Linked DNA regions of Mus musculus: region 2 is reported to be linked to region 1. Evidence: microRNA targets listed by miRTarBase, many of them from high-throughput screens and not tested one by one. Region 1 holds a microRNA gene; the other region holds the end of a gene's coding sequence.

Region 1 (4,000 bases):
CGATACAAGTACTCATAAACTCACAGCTGGGGAGGCCAGAGTGCTAAACTGTCATAACATGGAACCATCTCCCAAGTATATGGAAACAATTACCACTTGTGGTAGATAACATGTTGAGGTTTGGTCTTTTGTTATCTATTGTAATGGTAAGTGCGGCCCCCCAGGACCTGGGTGTCCCAGAGATAACTCAGTCAGCATACAGACCTTGCTCATAAGTTATTTCTGCTTGGTAAATAAAGATGCCAATAGCCAATAGCTGGGCAGAAGAGACATAGATGGGGTTTAGGTTTCCCAGGCGTGCGGTTGGAGGAGAAGGATGACGGGAGGGAGGAGAAGGAAGAGGAGAGGCACAGGAGGATAAAGGAGAAACCACCATGGGTTAGGAGTCAAGAGAACATGGCTCTGAAGGCTGGCCAACTGGAGTTAAGAACAGCCCAGATGAAACATAGCAAGTAGTAATAACTCAGAGTTACTGATAGTAAAGTAGATTCTAACAACATAGAGGGTAGATATCTGCCCAGCTCTTGTACTGTTTAAGGCTAACTGTAAATATAAAGGTTATGTATGATTTTTATCTGGGAACTAAATGATCTAAGGCAGGGTAGAAACCCTGGATCCGGATTAAATAGTTTCTACAACAATTACAAATGTATAGCTATATAGGATCCTGAGAATAAGTGACGGTTGAGTGCTTGGTCCTAAACAAGGCATTACGCCATTTCTTCCAAGGCTCAGGAACAATGCAGAAGAGGATATAGCATAAAGAATGTAAGTGTGGAAAATAGAGAGAAGGCCTTCCAAAAGCCCCCAAATGGGCAGTATCCAGCCAACTTAGGCATACCCTTCAAACAACTGGAAATGGTTTCGCTCAGCCTGCACAAAAATGAGCTCATTAACAGCCAGACGTGGATGAGTGAGGGGGTAGGTCTAATCTTCTCTGCTAAACTGTTTCCTACTGAAAGATTCTGGGAAACACAGTCATTACCTTCAGCAGTATACCTAACCAGTGACCGCACCACACTCACCGCAGTGGATAGTCCCAATCCAATAGTCACACTGATGGTCCTGGTTAAACTAAACTGGTCACAAACTAAGACCGAACACCATGACTGTGGGATCAGGACAGATATGCTGAGGTGCTGAGAGGAGTAGGGGTAACCAGAATGCATCTTACACATGTATGAAACTGCCAAGGAATGAGTGAAAGAAAGAAAAGGAAGGAAGGTAGGTAATTTAGAAGCCACAGGATTACACATATTACCATGGTAAAGATCCTTAAGTGCAATGCTTTCTCCAGAAGCCCATGCCTATATCTTGGTATTGTGTACTATCCGTTTCCCATGAGTCTGCCAAATAATTAACAAAATAATTAACTTTGTTTCACTCTGGGGCTTCTTGAAACTCTTTTCTGCAGCACAGGCAAGGATCTGGCTCTACCTTAGAGGAGGTCTCTAAGAGTCTCTTAGGCTGCTGGTAGCTGTGTTAGGCCGTCTCCCTGCTGCTGCTGAAATTTCCTAGGTTGGTTTTTACTAGTAAATGATCTATCAAACTTAATTAAATGAAAACTACTGAGAAGAGATATAGCTGAATTATCTACAAAGAGATGACTTGGCTATCTTGCATTAAGACTGTGGTTTGATTCTTACCATTTCAAATAAATAAAACAAAAATTAACTTTTGGCTTAGAAAATAAAAGATAAAACAAGCACCTTTGAAATGGTATTTCATGCTCTCCTGAAATTAGAGAATACATTACAATCCTCAAAGGGCTTTAGGACTATGTACATGAAGACAATTGTTTTAACTGAACCTTTCTGTAAATAATCTCTAGTCAATGGCCTGCTTCCACCTGTTTCCAATATTTAGTCAAGTCACAGGTACCCTTTGACATATCCATGTTTCCTGTTTTATAAACTTCGTTCTGAACTTTGGAATTCTCTCAGTCCTTTTGAGTAATCATCTTATGTTCACGGTGACTCAGAAAGAAGTTTTAAAATGGAATACAGACAATAAAAATTAGCTTAGATAGCTCTATTACCTTCCCAGCTAAAAACAAGATGGATTCTAAAAAAATTTTCTCTAACTCAAACTACTGTAAAATTGTTTATTTAAAAACCCATTGTAAACCACTTAATTCAATTTTTACATCTTAATCGACTTAGAGTATTTTGTTTCCTACTGTTGATATTTTTACCTGTCAAACTCTCACGTACTGCCATCTTATTAAAAATGGGAGCAATTTCAAATTACTGAAGAGATGTAAAACTGTAAAATCCCTGTGTACTTTAAACCTCATAAAGTACAGAAGATCTGATGATAAAAGAACTGGCAGAAAACCAGGGTGAGAAAATCAAAATTAAATAAAAAGCAAAAAATTAAATAAAAAGCAGCGCTTTACAGATGGCAAGCAAGGTCCTAGAACTTAGAAAGGTAAACATGAAGAAAAATCCACTCCTATACTTTACTGAACTCTCAAAATTTGAATAGAAATTCTAGGGGATTAAAAGACTTCCGAATATTTTTAAACTACAAAATGTAAAAGCAACATACATAGATGGTAAACAAGAAGCATTTAAACATAACAAAAAGGTACACTCCTCTTATAAGTTGTTGTAGATGTCAGACAGAGCTACGGTCATAGGATAAGTCAATCATGTGCAGCATGCGGTCCATATCCTTATCAGACAGGGTGGTGGCTTACACACAACATCCCATCTGAGTATGGATTAGGAAGGACAAAGTCAGGTGATTAAAGAACTTGCAAAAACAAACAAACAAACAAACAAACAAACCAGAATCCAAGGAAGGACCAAATAACAACTCTCTTAAGTCAAAATCTGCTAGCTTTAATAAAATCACCTTGCCTGCCCCACCTCACACTAACCCACTGGCCTAGCCATTGTTAGTTAGTTATATAATTCACATTGTGGAAGCAGGCCTGGGAAGATGGAGGTGGATAAAAAGGAAAGAGAAAGCGGCTGTAGAGAGAGTCCTGTGGAAGACTACAGTGCAGGTATATGTGTATCAACAGCTGTTCTCAATCTTCCTAAAGCTGAGACCAACTAACACAGTTCCTCCTGCTGTGGTGACCACCAACCATAAAATTATTTTGTTGCTACTTTATTCATGAATTTTGCTATCGTTAAAAATTGTAATATAAACATCTTGTGTTTTCCAATGAAGGAGCAAAGAAACTCTCTGGTTCTTTTTCTGACTCTAGACAAAGAACCAGCCACACTCACCATCTGTCCAACCAAAGACCACCATGAGAGTAACTTTAAGCAGTATTTTGGAGTCTTACTTTCACAGGTTTATTCTTTTTGATAAGCCATTTACTCTCAGAGAAGTCTTGTGTCAGGTTCACCCCAGGAGACCAGAAAGTCGGTCTTATCCCTGTGCCAGTTAGTCAGTTTTGGACTCAAGTCCTCCACAAACACAAAGCTAAAATGCTGATAAGTGATCTATATTTGTTTTGTAAAGATCTAGTTCTGTACAGTTTCTTTTTTTGTTTTTGTTTTTTGTTCTTTTTGCTTTTGTGTTTTGTTTTGTTTTATTTTGAGACAAGGTCTTACTATGCAATCCTGACTGGCCTGGAACTTACTACGTAGGACCAGCAAGTCTTGAACTTGCATAGATTTCCTGTCTCCACCTCTGGAATGCTGGGATTAGAGATGTGCAGAACCAGATCTGTAAGACAGCAGTTCTTAACCTTCATAGGCCATGGTCTCCTATGGGAGTATGGCAACACTGACTGTCTACTGTCTACTATGGAAAAAACAAATCACATACACATAATTCTAAATGTTATGGGGGCTTGAAATTCTTACAAAGATCTCTCAAGCTTCGGTACCTGGTGTGAACATTCTGCTGTTATCCTGGTTTTAAAATGGGATGTGTGGATATTCAGTTGCTCAAAACTGAAGAATCCCAACCCCCAAAAAGGATTAGTAAAAGATTCTCTCAAATAATTTCAGGGCAGAAAGTATAAGGAGTAGGTATG
Region 2 (4,000 bases), not on the chromosome of region 1:
CAAGAGTTTAGTTGAGGGGTTCAGCCTTCACTCACCAGAGGACCCCATACAAGTAGACTCTAGGGTACAATCCAGGAGTTGCATCCCATTTTACCCCTGATCCTGTTGCTCTCTGATCCTGGGGCTTTGGGTTGATGCTCAAGAGGCTCTTTCCCCAGACAGGATCTAATATCAGGACTGAGTTTAACATCCCTGAATGGTCCTTTGACTCCATTTTCCAACCTTTATGGCTGGGATAGAGCTCAAAAACAAACAAACAAACAAACAAACAAACAAACAAACAAATAAGGCTTCACTCCTGGGGCTATTCCTGTGAGGTGGGGTACAGGGAGGGGACACAAAAGTCAGTGTCACAGACATTTCCTGTGCTCTTCTTCTCTAGCTTGGTATTTGCCACACCCCTGTGCTGCGCTCTGTTCCCTCAGAGAAGGTGAGTGACACCGCTGGACCTGACCAGAATCTCTGCCCGGGACTCTGCATCTCAGGCCCGCAGTGTGTTCCCGGGAGGTCTGACAGGAGCATCTGGGAGCCCGGGGTGGGGGGTGGGGTGGGGGTGGGGTAACAGTGAGCCAGCCCTTCTGAAAGCAGGGAAGATTCTTCACCGGGGAGTGGAGGGAAGCCAGCTCCTGGGTCTGAGACACTGAGCCCGGAGTATATTTACCTAGCCTGTGTTGTTCTATTGCAGCTCCATACATGTGACCAGGCTGGAGCCGGAGCTGAGAGCTCAGATCCAAGCACAAAACCCCAGCATCGATGTGGTTTACTACAACAAGGGGCTTTGAGGGGAGTCGGCCTCTGTCCCTGTCCTTACCTCCTTAGGCTGCTTCTCTGATGCCACCTTGCAATGCTACCACCTGTTTATCTTCTGGGTACTGGGCAAGGGGGCTTGATGTGGGGAGCAGCCACTGAGACCAGCAACCTTAGACTGGGGGAGGCACTCCTATAAGCCTCTCCGCTCCTCTCTGGTTTCAAAGAGCAAGTCACAAAACCCATCCCTCCTGTGTTTGTGTGTGTGCACTGCCACATATGCAGCACATGTGTTTATACATTTCATCCTGGAAGCTAAGAGCAGAAATGCTGTTCTAGGATGTCCTGCTATTTGTCTTCTCTTCTCAGTCTCCTGCCCACCTAACAGCAAGCCTGGTTATGGGTGAGACTTCCTTCCCTAAACTGTTCCTCTAGCTAAGTCATTTCTGATAGCATCTTAGCCTTCTGTGCCCAAGATAAGCCCCAGGATCCCAGAACAGGGACTGAAGAACATCGTAGGCCACCCAGAGCTTAACCCTTCAGGTTTCAAATACAGCTATTTGAACCAGCTCTAAAAGCTGGTTCAGGACGTGGGCTGGTAGAGGAAGCAGTGTGGAATCAGGGAGGCAGGGGGCTCATGCTTGCTGGACCCCACACCCTAGAATGGCTCCACTCCTCTCTTCTGGTGGACCATGGGGGTGTCAGTAGCCTGCACTGCTCTCCACACTGCATTGTGGGTGCTTTTAGAGACCATCTTGAGCATTCTTCGTCTGTTCTGATGAGTCATGTCATGATTCAGAAATCCCACACTTCCAATTCCTCCCCCAATCAGAAAGCCACACAACACAGGCAGAGCAAGCATTCCCTTCAGGAACTGCCACCACCCGTACCCACTTGTAGGGGCTGGTGTGGGACCGGTGCTTAAACACAGGCCTCAAGCGTACAGTATCAAGACAGGTAATTCTGTGTTTCATTGACTCTTCTTAGACACACCCCCCCCCCCTCAGCTCCTTCCTTTCCATCTACCCCGTCTCTGGAAGAACCCAAGGCTTCATATATGCTAAGCAACTGCTCTACCACTGAGCGACATCCCCAGTGCCCTCTTTCTCTTTTCCTTTCTTTCTCTCTTTCTTTCTTTCTTTCTTTCTTTCTTTCTTTCTTTCTTTCTTTCTTTCTTTCCTTTCTTTCTTTCTCTCTCTCTCTCTCTCTCTCTCTCTCTCTCTCTCTCTCTCTCCCTTCCTTCCTTCCTTTCTGTCTGAATGTGTCTGTCTGTCTTTCTGTCTGTCTGTCTTTCTTTCTTTTTTTGTTTGTTTTTGTTTTTCAGTTATGGTTTCTCTGGGTAGCCCTGGCTGTCCTGAAACTCAGAGATCTGCTTGCCTATGGCAGTGAGTGCTGGGATTAAAAGGCATGTGCCACCATTGCCAGCAGCCCGTCTCTTTCTTAAGACATGGCACTGCACTCCCTCTGCCCTTAATTTCAAAAGGAAGAGGGACCCAGGCTCTAATAGCTGGACCAAATAGAAGATGAGTTCGGGAATGGTGTGGGTGATACTGACTCCAGGGCATAGAATTATATCTCCACGCCAAATCCATGACCTCTAGCTAAAAGGTGAATGGGGTCCCCAGTGACATCCACGGAGACCACTTAAACTAACCTCCTCTTCCAGTGACAACAGCTGTCACGTCATGGTGTCAATAAACTGCAATCCTGTCTGGTTCTTGATCTTCAGTTATTCCACATCCCACTTGTCTAAGGAAGTGTCCAGGAGATTCTCCTGCCTTCAGCTCCTCCCCAAACCCTCCCCTACTGTCTGTAGGGAGTCTCATCTCCCAGTAGAGGGCTCTCTGAGCTTACAAAATGGGTCCTCTGGCTAGCAACTATACCCTTGGCTTCATTTCTATCTTCACTAAGAGGACTGCTCACATATATATTAATTGAAGCTCATGGCCTTTTGGTTTCCTTGACGACTCTGGCATAGGGTGGTGACCTCGGTCTCTAGGAAATCTTTACAGAGGGAAGAGGAGGCCAGCAAGCGCCTGCTCATTAGAGCGAAGCTGGTAGGGAATTGGGACATCCTCTGTCTTTACCAGGTCACTGTGGCAACTGGCCCGACAGGATCCCTCCATCACCCCCAGGGTTCTTCATTGTGTGTGTGTGTGTGTGTGTGTGTGTGTGTGTGAGAGAGAGAGAGAGAGAGAGAGAGAGAGAGAGAGAGAGAGAGGAGATTGAGGAGAAGAGAGACAACATTTAGGAATCAGTTCTTTCTTTCTGTTGAGTCGGCCTCCTTACTTTTATGATATTTTCCTGCCCCGGAGAAGATGAGGTAGGACATGAGTGCTTGTGTACAGGCGGTGAGAGCTAGAAAGGGCACTCTCAGCAGCATAACACACTTGAGGCCGTCCTGGGTTACATGAGACCCTGTTTCAAATAACAAGCAAAAATAGCAACAAGTTGCTGGCCATAGTGGTGCACCCCTTTAATCCCAGCCCTTGGGAGGCATGGCTGGCACATCTCTGTGTTCAAGGCCATCCTGGTCTACAGAGTGAGTTGTACAGTCAGAGCTACAGAAACTCTGTCTCTAAAAACAAATAAACAAAGAAAGAAAGAAAGAAAGAAAGAAAGAAAGAAAGAAAGAAAGAAAGAAAGAAAGCGAGCAACAAGAAAAACAAGACCAGAGGGACATGGTGGGGCCTGATTCCAGCTGAGCTGTGACACCCCACCACAGTGCCTCCTTTCATATGCCAGCTGCCAGCCACACCCAGTCTCTCTGACACTCAGGAACTCCTTCTCCCCTACCCAGTTTGTTTACAGACCAGCAAACCTGACAGGACCACAACTATACACAAACCTTTTCCTAAAACTACTAAGAAAGCTAGGCCAGAAGCCTGGAGCTGGCTCTGCATGTACCTGGGAGAGTCTGAGTCACGAGCCATTTTATGGTCGGTCAGTCAGGGCAACTCCATGAGACATCTTCTTGAAGTAAACAGAGAGATATACTTCAGTGGTTGAGTGCTTGCCTAACATGAGCAAAACCCTAGACTCAGTTTTCAATACAGTATCAAAAATAAAACAAAAAGCCGCAGCCACTACAGGCTTTCCAAATTTGAGCTTTATAACTTGCACGCATAAGCAAATAACCCCATTCTTGATTATATATGGGACACTTAGGTGGCCAGTTTCAATTTCATTCCACCCTGCCAATCACACCAAGGCCTCCTTCCAAGCCTCAGAGGCCAGGGCCAATTCTAGCTTC

Evidence for each region. Region 1 holds the annotated microRNA mmu-miR-1933-3p (CCAGGACCAUCAGUGUGACUAU, at 1,048-1,069, opposite strand). A microRNA usually pairs through its seed, bases 2 to 8, with sites in the 3' UTR of a target mRNA and lowers its output. Matches are read on the target gene's strand: a 7mer-m8 pairs with bases 2 to 8, a 7mer-A1 pairs with bases 2 to 7 and ends in A, and an 8mer does both.
Region 2: miRTarBase lists Sfxn3 as a target of mmu-miR-1933-3p. Seed matches in the 3' UTR shown: 7mer-A1 at 2,099-2,105.

Annotation. Positions count from the first base shown.
Region 1 is chr11:21,343,553-21,347,552 of GRCm38, forward strand. Mir1933 (microRNA 1933) reads right to left here and starts at 1,123; the gene lies at 1,036-1,123. All of the region lies in intron 3 of Ugp2 (UDP-glucose pyrophosphorylase 2), which reads right to left.
Region 2 is chr19:45,053,920-45,057,919 of GRCm38, forward strand. It overlaps Sfxn3 (sideroflexin 3), which reads left to right. Exons shown (of 11, transcript NM_053197.4): 10 at 383-430; 11 at 686-2,464. The coding sequence ends at 782. It also overlaps a transcript of Pdzd7 not described here. Among named protein-coding and RNA genes, the nearest start is that of Sfxn3, 8.3 kb to the left of the region's middle.